Drosophila melanogaster: one gene and its partner. The protein of the gene in region 1 interacts with the protein of each later gene in a pairwise test. Each region holds a gene or a part of one and is shown in the gene's direction. Other genes may lie near its edges. The genes, in order: mi and can.

Evidence for each region.
Region 2: the proteins of mi (region 1) and can interact in a two-hybrid assay, tested with the Drosophila melanogaster proteins (one large-scale study listed by BioGRID).

The regions. Positions count from the first base shown.
Region 1 is NT_033778.4:23,521,948-23,528,933, forward strand, and holds mi (minus), read left to right. Parts: upstream 1-1,908; 5' UTR 1,909-2,189; intron 2,190-2,286; 5' UTR 2,287-2,402; coding exon 2,403-2,465; intron 2,466-2,522; coding exon 2,523-3,574; intron 3,575-3,636; coding exon 3,637-3,771; intron 3,772-3,831; coding exon 3,832-3,966; intron 3,967-4,029; coding exon 4,030-4,091; intron 4,092-4,148; coding exon 4,149-4,762; intron 4,763-4,866; coding exon 4,867-5,027; intron 5,028-5,087; coding exon 5,088-5,691; 3' UTR 5,692-6,305; downstream 6,306-6,986. Other genes in the region: RabX1, read right to left, coding at 112-245, 1,281-1,323.
Region 2 is NT_037436.4:10,263,303-10,268,859, reverse strand, and holds can (cannonball), read left to right. Parts: upstream 1-1,748; 5' UTR 1,749-1,794; coding exon 1,795-1,833; intron 1,834-1,907; coding exon 1,908-2,199; intron 2,200-2,253; coding exon 2,254-2,314; intron 2,315-2,380; coding exon 2,381-2,533; intron 2,534-2,589; coding exon 2,590-4,873; 3' UTR 4,874-4,951; downstream 4,952-5,557.

The DNA.
Region 1 (6,986 bases):
AATTCCTTTGGCTTTGCCTTTGGCTTCGGCTTTTTTACGAGGCAATTCCATTTGCGTTCGCCCCAAAAGAGTTGGTCGCACTGATACATATTCTGGCTGCTGTATACGCACTTGCAATTTAATTTTGACCTCGTCCAGGATGATGTTGCACGTGAAGAAGGACACGGCTATCGTGGGTACCTCGCTTTCCTTGCGGTGCAGCGTGTTCTTTATGTAGCGGATGACCAAACGTGTTTTGCCCACACCTGCAAGACAAGAACACAAATTATGCAATTAATCGAGAGATACAGCATTGTCTTTCTGTGTACCCGTGAGCCCTATTTCGCTTCAAGCATAATGCCGTGCAGCTTATCAGTGAACGTGGAATGGCGCACGCATTAATTGACCGCTGATTAATCACGCAAATTGAGCCGAATAAACAAAACAAAAACTGGAGACGCACTAGCCCGCAAAAGGTGGTAAACAGCGATAAGGAATCGCCTACCGACCACGAGATTCTTTGTTCGGCGCCCACTTTTTTGTGGCTCAGAGAAGCCCCTCTGTGTTTGATCAGACGGGGAATCTCCGCGTGGAGCTGCAGTATGTGCATGCACTGAATCATCCGGCGATTATGGGAAGAACGTATATTCCGAGGAAAGTACCGCCTTTTTTTTATCAATGCGTCCCTTTGTTTGGCGAAAAAGCAGAGCAAATACTGCACCCGCTGTGCATATAAGCCCCCTTAGTTGACCTTGGGCCAAACTTAAATACATATACTCATTGCGAATTCGTCAGCCGATTACGCTGCAAAAAATGTCCACTTTGTTGTGTAGAAGAGGGTAGACGGTGGAGGCTTCCCCCTTGATATGTTTTTGGAGTACAAATGTAGAAATGAACAATTTTAAGTTTCGGAGTTGTGCACTACGGAAGCCATCAAATTTGGCCCATTAACACAGATTTCTTATCGTAAATCCAAATCCCAAGGGCAACGTCATCTTGATGTGATGACATCGTGTGTGGTTAAATTCATCGGCTAGTTCAGCCTAATCCCAACCAGACACGCTGTCTTTGCCAGACTCTCTTCTGCATCTACCTAAATCCAGATTGCAGCATGCAGCCTGCAGATTCCCAATTGGGGCCAGTGGAGTTCAAGGCTACGGCTTATCGGCTCACCCCGGTTGTTAATCTTATCACTGGGCAATTGATGGAATTACTGTCATTATGCGGATCATTGAGACTTCTGAATGGAGTCCGCCGAATGGCCATTGAAATCGGAAACGGGTGGAAACGTGTGTGCTTACCTCGCGAGCCCAGAACAAGCACTTTGCCCTCGATTCCGCGCATCTCGCCGAGATTAGCGGCTCAATCGCATCGCTTTCCGTGGACTTTAGTGACGTTTTTTTTTTTTGTAAAATGGATGAGATGATGTGTTGTTGGCTCAGTGGTTGTTGCTGCTGTTGTTGTTGTTGCTTGCAGAGCCAGTGGTTGGGAAGCGCGTAATTGGCCCTTTGGCGGCCTGCTGCGTCTGATTTCTTGGGCACAACTGAATTTATCGGAGTCGGTGGGGGTTTTCAAAGCGGGCGCTGCGATTAAAAGCGCGCAGTCAGCAGTAAAGATAAAAGATTTAATAAATTTGAAGGCTTGTTGTTATTGTGTTATGTTATGCGCGAACAGCTGTTTACCAGGGCTGACACGAGGTGCGATAGTTGCTGCTGGCAGCGATAGCTGGTCTTGCAGAGTAGAATTTCGCAAGGAAATAACTTTGTTTCACAAGTAAATATATTCGTAAAAAATATATTTATGTGTTAGTTTGATTGGTTAGCAAGGATTCCAATCAGGAATATGACTACTAGAAAAATCACGACCCCGATTACCGCTTGGAAGATGCCACCCGATAGCAAAACTATCGCCCATCACTAATTGCATTTCCCAGACGCGTTAGTACCACCGCCAAAAGCAGGCAGATGTTCATACAGGCGATTTTAACAACAGTGTTTTATAGATAAATTAACAAATTAAAGGTATTTTAAGGAGCTAGACAACATGCATTAGGAGCTACAAGCTCGCGGGCACAACTGGATACTAGCGATAGGCGTGCAGCGTGCGACTCGAGCGCGTTAAATGTCCGCAAAAGTCAGACTTCTACGCGCGTTTTTCGCTTGGGTAACTTAGTTTTCCCCGACCTGGGAAAAGTGCCACATTTCCAAAAGGTAAATGCACTGCCAAGAAGATTAATGCGGCTAAGATAAGAAAATCGTCAGTGACTCCCCGTGCTTACTTTCACTTTTCTCTGCCCCGTCAATCTAGCCATTCGTCAGGCTCCACAAACTGGAGCAGCCTGTACAAAATGCCGCGTGCCTAAAATAACTTCGGGCTATAGAAGAAGCTATAACTACAACGAGAAATCTATTTTTATTCGAAGAATGGCCACTATTGGAAACAAGATAAACAACAGCTACGAATCGGAGCCTTCTACAGGAAGCGGGGTAAGACTAATTGGTGTCCTTGCGGTTGCGAGCTTGCTGAAACTTTGTGTTTTATAGTCTTCGCTCAGTGAAAACAATGAGAGCCACATATCTGACGAGGATCACATGAACTTACCGTATCTGATGAAACCGAAAGCACTGAGCAGCCAGCCCATCAAGGAAACCCCAACGCCACCCAATCCGAAGACGGGCAGCCAGGAATCGCAGTTCCTGGGCTTCGGAGACAGCCCATATGGCCAGGTGAACAAGCGTCTGTATGGCTCCCAGCTGCAGAACCTTAAGCTGCCGGAGGTGGAGCCCCCTGCCGTCCGACGTCCCTCGCCGGGCAAGATTGTCTTTCCCCGGTTCTACGACACCCTCATCGAGGAGAACAGCTGCAATGCCGTGGACATGGCCGTGTCAGTGGCCACGACAGCCACCACGACAACGGGCAGCCTCTCCTTCGATGGCAAAATCAAGAGCCTGACCGCAAAGCCCGAAATTCAGGACAAGCCTGGGCCCTCCAATGCTACGAATCCACGTCTGTCAAACGTGCTAGAAACCTCGCTCAACACCTCGCAGCAGAAGTTCAACAACGAACGCTCACCTGATCTCTTTGCCGACAGCGACGATGAAGCTGACAACGACGAGCAACCGGAAAAAGAGCCGCCCACCAGGCTGGAGGATCTGCCCGAAGTGTTGGAAGAGTCGCAGTGCACCAGCGACGCACGAGCTCGCTCCTCGCTGAATGCTCCCACGGAGTCCAGTTTTGTGGATGAGCAGACGATGGACCTTTCGAGCACCCAGCTGAACGCCAACGACCCCCGGTCGCACTTCTTGGAGAACTGCAGGAGAGAACGGGAGCTGTATCGGCGGATTCGTCGCTGCCTACAGGGAGTTCGTCCGCCGCCCTCGGTGACTGCACCCGATGTGGACGTCATCAAAATGGTGCTTAGCATGAAATCAAACGTGCTAAACTTTCTCTCCAAGGATAGCCCACCATCTACACCCAGAATCGAGGACAGTGGCATTAGCGAAACAACCTCACTGTTTCGACCATCTCACAGTCTCTCGGAGGCTCAAAACATGGGCTGGCGGGATGTGCTGGGAGTAAGACATCATGGACTGAGGTATGCTCTTTAAAGGATTCGTTTGTGCTTGCAGTGTTTTCATTACCCGCTTCCATTCACAGCTACAATCTTAACAAGGCTGCCGAACAAAATGAATACCTCAGCATGTCCGTGGTGGACCGCTATGTGGGCGTGGAAACCGCGACGTCCTATGTGAGATCGCCATCGAGCGCCAAGAAGAGAAACATGCGTATGAAGTGAGTAATAAATTAGTCAGCCGTGTGAACGTTTAACTCACTGAACCCAACTCCTTACAGAATGTTAACCCAATCGCCTGGCAATCGCCTCAGTCATTTGGCCAAACGACGTGCCATATTTTCATCTGCGAATCTAGCCACCAACTCACAGAAGCTTAACAGCTCAATTGGACCACAAATAATGCTAGATAAGAAGTGGGTAGCTTTTGTGATTAAAAACTCCAAACACATACTAATTTCCATGATTTTGGCTTACAGAAAAGTGCGAAATAAACGCAAGGCCACGCCCAAGCGAAAGACGCCGGGCAGCAAGAAAAAAGGTGAGTGATTTGATAAGATAAGCCAATGTACTTTTGTTAATGATGCATTTGCACCAGCTCGCAAGACGCCATCTTCATCCGCCCGAAAGCGCCTCTACCGCACTGATCTCATCAAGCCAGGACCTTCGAGAGAAACCTCTAAGCGTGCCTTATTCCAAAGTCCGGCCAAAACCCTGCAGCAACAGCAGCTAATGCCGCCCAAACCGCTCTTCAAGCCGGAGATTGCGAACCGCGTAGAGCGGTCGAAGCGCGCTCTCTTTTCGCCGGATCACCAGGGCAGCAGTAACCAGCTGGAGTCGATCCTGAAGCGGAAAAGAAACGCCTGCGATGACGACGAGGATTCAGCTGATTTGGCTAGCCAGAGCAGCAAGCTCTTCCGGGCCGAGAGCAGTGGACCCAGTGGGTTGACTCCTCGCGCTCTAAAGATCAAGAGCCAGAGTTTCTGCATTGGAGCTGGTTCCTCCACTGCGGGTGTTCAGCTAAAGTTGGCGCAGCACGCGGCTGCTACCCCTGGGCAGACGCGGCTCAGTCTTGGCCTGAGCGGCAGCAGTAGCAACCTGGTTAACCCGGCATCTTTTGCAAGCGGTACGCCACTGGCGAGTAAACTGCACAGAGCGCACTCGGAGATGAGCGCCACACCGAATAGCAGTATGACTGATAACCAGCGAAAGGTGAGCCTCTATTTATCTATACATCAAATTATGCCTTTTGTGTATGGTTTATCCCTAAGATTCGTTCACTTAACCGTCATAACTAATCTCGTTTATTGCCACAGAAACTCCTTTGGGCTGTGTCGCAGGCACTGCAGGAGAAGAAAATTACGCCGAAGCACGAGCAATTCCGTCAGCATGCGGCAGACCTTACGCGCATTGTGAAGCGCATCTTCCAGGAATTCTACCTGGGACATTCGTCCAGCAACAGCGAAACACTGCTAAGGTGAGTAAGGGGTGGATATAATACTCGTATAGGCACTATTGGAACTTCCACCTTCCGCAGGCTGGCCAAGAAGTTTGCCTTTAGCGTGATTGCGGGGAAGAATGCGGACGACGTTTACCTGCAGGCGCGCAGTCAGGAATGCGAGGCCAAGCGGTTGTCGAGCACCCGCCTCTCGGGCTACATCGGTCCGGAGGAGTTTGCCCAGCGTAAACTGCTTCTCTCGCAAACATCGGTCGTAGGATCAGCAGCAGGTTCGGCGCGATCCCTGCACAACATCTTCGGCAGCGAGAACTCCATCGATTCCTTCGGTCTGAGTCAAATGAGCCTGCCCACAAATGCCTGCTCCGAAACGCAATCGAGTATAGTGGATCGCATCTCGGAGGATCTCTTCTGCAAGGAACGCCAACCCATCCGGCCCAATGCCTCGCTCCAGAACAGCTCGTCGAAGAGTAACCTAGGCGGACTCGCGCTGCGCGAGAACATGGACTGCGAGGCTCGCCGTTCGGCGCAAAAGAACTTTACCGGCAAGGACCAGCAGAACATCAGTCCCTACTTCGGAGGCGGCGGAAGTAACAGCTCTGCGCGCAAGTTCCAAATGCCACCCGTGGGCAACAGCAACCACTCCGGAGGCAAGGCCAAGAGACAGATTTCCTTTGACTGCTAGAAGAGTAGGGCCAATAGGATAATTGTTGAAACGTCATTATCATAATATGATGCCCATAAATCCTCTCCGATCCCTTGAAATTCTAGGAGCAGAGGCAAGGAGCTGCCCGACGTGTAAATGAGTTTTAGCTCTTTAGCCTTGTAAGCAAAAAGATTAACTCGTTTTTGTTTCCATTATTTTTTGTTTGTTTTAGCTTAATTTATTAATTCAACTGTCAGGTCTCTTTAAACCCTTTCAAACCATTTATATATAATGACAGACAATCGTATAATAATAGGTATAAGTAAAATAATCTGATATAGATCTTATAGATCGCCTCTTCTTCGACTCGCAAGACTCCCGACTTTTCCTTGAGCTCAAATGTAGTTCAAATGCAAGTTAAATTTCTTTTAGTAACGGCATACATACATGATCTATATGGGATTTATTTTATGCGACTCAAATTTGATGAATGCAATATTTTCCACTGAAGTTTAGATGTATTAAGAACATTTTGTGCTTAAAAATTACAAATTTTACTTAACTACCGCACGAGTACTCAATGCAACTGAAATTAAGCTGAAGCAAGTTCTGTAACAGTGTAAACTGAAATTAGTATAATAAAAGCGCCCCAATCAATAGTAACCACTGCGGTGAATGTATCGCCTAACCAGCCCAAAGGACACGATGTGAAAGATGACGGCCACCACCACCAGACTGAAGCAGTCCAGCCAATAGGTGTAGTCGGCGGTGCGATAGGATCCCTGCTGCAGCACCTCCACTCCGGTCTTGATGCACGGATGATCCTCGTTGACGGGGCAGTCTGGATAAAATATTATTGGATAACATGCATCCTGATTATCTACTTGGAGGTAAGCTCACCGATATTATCGATGTCGATCCAGAACTTGTACATCAGCGCCTCGTTGGAGTAGAAGAACAACGAGAGGTACTTTAGTCCAGGCACTGTGTCCACATTCATGTAGGTGCCGCCAAAGATAAGGAAGATCAGATCGAAGGGCGCCGCGCACTCGGAGGCCATCTTATCCGACTCGAAGAGGCTGGAGAGGAAGACCCCATAGCCAACAGCCGCCACCGCGGACAGGCTCATCAGGAAGCCCATGCTGAGGTACAAAAGGAAGCCGCGCGTGTAGTATATGGAGGCATATATCACCGACAGGAAGACGTAGCCCTTGAAGAAGGCCACGGGCACGAAGGAGAGCACCAGGGCCACGTAGTAGGCGGACAGGCTGTAGGTGCCCTCGCCCACCTCCCGCCTGATGATGGGAAGGGCGGCGGGAAATATATACGTCACG
Region 2 (5,557 bases), on another chromosome or scaffold:
AATCAGCAGCAGCTAAAAATGTTTATGGCCTTTTCGCTTGCCACGCCCCCTTTTCGACTTTTGCACCCCGCCCCTGTGGAAAATTCCCTAATCAAATTAGCAACAGTTAAGCGGAAGTGCGAAAATCCGCAAGCTGCATTGTTTGTTGTGTGTTTACTTTTGGCTTTGTTGCAATTTGGGATTTCGGTGTGTGTGTGCGGTGCATTTATTTTGATTTGATTGTTGGCCTCACTCAGCGGGGCTTTCGCACTCGCAAATTTGCATTTTTGGATAATTTTTGCATTTCGGATTTTGCATTCTGGCATTCGAGTATTTGCATTTGAATGTTCGCGTGCGTTGCATGAATCATTCATGTTCGAGTTTCTGTTTCTGATTCAGATTCTGGTGGTGCTGCTGCTGTTGCGGCTGGTGATGATTCAAGTATCGATTTGCATTGATTTGCATTTCAATTGCAGCTTTTCGACACTTTACAATGGATTATGCTGCAGTGTGATTTATCTATGGCCAGCATTACATATCAAGTGATTTGGCAATTGTTGCTGTCCATAATGAGGCTTTGTTTGCCATTGTGTTCGCCTCTAACTGTTGGCCCTTGACTATTGACACACATACCCATCCATGAATACCAATTGCCAATATTCCTAGTTTTTAATGCAGTTTTTTTTTTTATTTTATTTAAAGCACTTAAAGTGTGCATCCCCGTGCGCGCCATAAATCATGGCGAAAATTACAAAACAATATGCAGCTACATTTTCTGCTTCTGCTGCGGGTTGTCCTGTCGCCGGCTTTTTGTATATCCATTTTTTACGCACGTCTTTTTTATTTTATGTGCCCTGCAAAATGAGTTGCCAGCGCCGCCGACATATTGCCCGAACTGCGGAAGAATTCCAAACGCATCCGCGGGTTTTGGTCCGCCAGCATACTCGCACAATTCCACTGACAAGTGAGTGGTGAAAAGAAGTATCAAAACATAAAATTATTTTTAGAGCCGAATGAAAAATACTCTGTTAAAAAATATTCCAAATTATTTAGATAGTTGTGTAACCCTGTTGGTCATTAAGAATTTACAATAGACTGACAAACTTTCACCTTCAAGGTAAAACGATTTTACCTTTGTGAGCAGATCTTTGGGCGGAAAATTAAAAACACCCAATATACATATAGGGTATAACGTAAAATTAAAAGAGGTCCCTGAAATGGACAGTGGCATGGGAAACCTCTGCGTAGCAACAAATCCGTCGAGTATTGGGTATGCAAATTAATTTTTTTTTACCTATGGACCAGTCGTTCAGCCCCTCCACCACCCCTCGCTTTTTAAGGACACCCTGGATTCCAGCGCCCTCATGTGATGTGCTGCTGAGCCAGCATTTTGTTTCAGATCAGCGGTAGTCGCCGTGTCATGTTGGGTAAAATTTGTGAAAAAAAATGGATAAATCGAATAGAGGGAATGTATTTGAAAACATAATATCAACCACAAAAGTTGAGCTGGCCATGCCATAAAGACCATTTGAAAAGTTATAAGGTGTTGTAATATAAATTAACAATTAAGAAAGAAATATATATATATATTGGGAAATACATTTTGTTTGTTAGAAACAATGTACAATATATCCAAAAAAAAAAGTTTTAACGTCATAAAACAAAATCAGATTTTGGCTTTTTGGCAAAATGGGCTTCAAAAATACGGCCACACAATGCGCAGCTGTCAAATCGAAAACTTGTCAAGTCAAGGAAAATATTCACTTATTGCACTAGGGCTGATTTGGATTGTTCAAATATTTAAGAGCAATAAAGATGGATTTACCATTGCCAATACTAATACCATCTAGTGATGTGAGTAAGAATATGTATGCGCTTTCTAACAACTGGTTAAAATAAGTATCCAAACTCTTCATGCGCTCAATCAGGAAGTGTACGTTATTTCCGATTCGGATGATTCCGATTCCGATGATATCAGAAATGAGCTTATGAAACTGGAGGATAACAAGGATAAACCCAAAAACAAGGAACGCCAAAAGTCTAAGAATGAAAATAGTCAGATAAAAATGAACAAATGGTATTTGAAAGAATTCGAAGACCTTATGGGACTCGAAATTGCTTGCTCCGATGATGAAGACGATATAGATGATCGTAATAGCGAAATATGGAGCAGCTCGGAGTCCGATAAAATTAGCGATTCAGATGATTCCAACTCAGATGGTAAGTTTCCAAAAAGGAAATGCATATTAACAAAGTAAGGAACGTTATTTTCAGGATCGCCCACCGAATGGATTAACAGAATAAAGAATGTCAATCTATTTCCATTCAATAAAAGGTTAGCGATATTAACAAATATTTTCGGACTTAGTTTACACTAGAGTTTTTAATTCCTTTCCTTTAGTGCTGAAGATGAAAAACCAAAGGCTTGTGAAGAACTTCCCTCAATACCAGTTTTTACTGGTCCGATGCCATCGATGCCGATTTATGATGAAGAAACCTGTCAATTTGAAATGGTGCCACCCATCATACAACCAGACTTAATTAAGGAAGTAACGTAAGTCTTAAGTTATAATTAAGTTACTTCCACTAATTCTGGCACACGAATCGCAGTGACGCAGAAATGCCAATTGAGTTGGATAAATCCGATTCTGAGTTGGAAAAAGAAAAGTTAAAAGCCGATGAGGATGACAACTTTTCGGACAGTAACACCAGTTCCAGTTTTAGTTTGAGCAGTTTAGATGATTATGATTATGGTGAAACTGATCTTGATGAACAGCATAACGAGAATAAATGTACTTACTGGGAGGAAATGTCATTGCGTCCCGTTGACAAGGGCGAAGTTTCACAAGAAGAACTAATGGCTATTTTGAATGAAGACGAGAGTTCCCCAGATCATCGAAGTGAATGTGATATCGACGAAGCCATTAGGACCCGTGATGGCTCAGATTTTTACGAAGATAGTGCTCAGTTTCTGGAAAACATGGAAAATGTTAGCTTGTTGGTTATCAAAGAGGATTCGGTTTTTGCGGATTATGAATTCGCGGTAAAGAAACTTATTAAACTGATCCAATCGACACCAAGTCACTACAAATACGAGATATATATTCTGTTATATCCCTTGTTGGTCCTAACTTATCTCCAAATGATGGCCAGTGATAAGATACAGAAAGCTAGGATGCTTCTTGTTCGCTTTCAAGATCATCTCGACGATTCATATATATCAAGAATTATAAAGCTAAGAGAAATTTCCAAGCCAGCAGAAGTTCCGAATAAAGCACGCAAATTATTGGCTGGCCTTGAAAAGGTGAAGATTGAAATGTCTGAGGGAGCTTTTCGACAGTTACTTCTTTGCACAGAGGAATGGACTAGAGGTCAGCAAGAAAAATTGCTGAGCCATTTTCAAATACAGCCTTATAGTGAAGATGACAAGCCCCAGCAACGATTTGCCATAGGACAGCCTCTTTTGGAGCCGATATGGTATGGTGCTCCAGAACCCTTGCACAAAAAGGACTTTGCCGCTCGTCCTTTTTTTCAAAAACGTCGCAAGAAAAGGAGCGAACCACAGTTATCAGATAATTTACATTTGCCACCGGTAAATAGGGTTTACAATCCGATTCCCAACAAAATGGATTTGCTTCACATGAAGAGTGATGAACAGTATCGAATGAAATTAGATCGGAATAACCTGCCATCGACTTACTTGTACACAACTTCTCCCTCCGATGAGGTCGTGATTTGTGCCACCTTCTCGGAAGGCAATAGCATGTTGGCACTGGGAACTGTATCCTCTAAGGTATATGTTTTCTCTCTGAAACCCTCTAAATTGGTTCAAGTGAAAGCTGCACAGTGGCTAAAAAATCTGGATACCGGAATGGCTGGGGTTGATAAGGATATGATAGATCCCATTAAGAAGTTCACCAGACGTACTCTGTACGGACATCAAGGACCTGTCTATGGTTGTTCCTTTAATCCAGAGGATCGCTTTCTGATCACATGTTCCGAGGATTTCAGCGTTCGCTTGTGGTGCCTTCTGTCCTGGAGTTGTGTGGTTATTTTTTCCGGCCATTTGGCACCGGTTTGCTTTGTTGTTTTTGCACCAAGGGGTTATTATTTCGCCACCGCATCGGATGATTGTACGGCGAGAGTTTGGATGCAGGATAATACGAAACCCGCCCGAATTCTTCAAGGACATCTGGCCGAGCTCGGGGTGTGCCTATTTCATCCAAATCGTCACTATATGGCCACTGGATCTGCTGATTGCACTGTTAGGATCTGGGATATTGTCAAGGCTGTTCAAGTGCGCATTTTTCGTGGTCATAAAAGCAGGATAACCGCCTTGATCTACTCAATTTGCGGTCGTTATTTGGTTTCTGGAGGCGATGACAATCTCATCATGATTTGGGACACAGCCAATGAGATTTTGATGCAGTTCTTTGACCATCATAAGGCCTCGATTAATACCATGGAAATCTCTTTGGATAATAACATATTGGTTGTGGGTGGACAGGATTGCCAGCTGACCTTGTGGGACTTTGAGCAGGTGATTAAGAATTACTTGAACAGGGCCAAGATAAGTATGAAAAACCAGGCGGGAACTCAAGAATCGAGTGCCAATAATTTGCTGGTCAGCTCATTTTTCACCAAGGGAGAACCATTTTATATGATCCGCTTTACACGTCGCAATCTCTTACTTGGTTTCTGTGTGACTCCTCGAGAATTTGAGAATGATGTCCTCGACGTGAAGCTTAATCAGAACAAGCACAAGGAGGAGAAGAAAAAGGAACTCGGCGAATGGCTGGATTTTCTAGACACCATCAAATTGAAGGCTTGTTACGATCTGAAGGACGAAATTAATTTGGATACTTCGCAGGTAGAGAAGGAGAACAAATCTTAATTATTGTAAGCTCTCTCTTAAGTATTTAAATAAAAAACTGTAAATAAATGTATATAAACCATCGAAAGTTTCAAATAGAACGATTGCGTTTTGTAATTCACAAAAATAATGCTTACCCGCAAAATTATTTTTAAAGCAGGGTTGTTTCATGTTATTTATGGAATAATATTGGAGATAAACATTTCGTATGACAAATATACAAGATTTTCTGAAGCAGAGACAAACCCCCAGAGCGAAGGAGAATGCTGCAGTAACAACAATTTGACAGTTTCGAAAAAAAAAAAAACAGGTCAGGCCACGTGTACAGCTGCCCACGACTCATTCCTCCTTGAAAAAAATCCACTCCTCCTGCAGGAGATTTCTTCGTGGTCCTCACATTTACAAAAGGCGTGCAAAATTTATAGAGGCACGCATTAAAAAATCCGCCAGGCACGCTCGACTAACTGCGTCCAAACGCCCATGGGGCTGGCAGTTGAGCTTCGAATTGGTCCCGGCCGACCGCAGTCCGATGTCCCTCGTCCTGCGTCCTTCGTCCTTCGTCCTGTCCCGCATCCACGAAAAAACCCCCCTTAAGAATAAGCGACAGGACAATATATTTACGCAACTTCTTATGCTGCCGCTTTAGCCGGTGGTTGTTGTCCTTCTCTTTCGGCTTCGAAAACAGAACTCAAGTGTTGTCGTTGT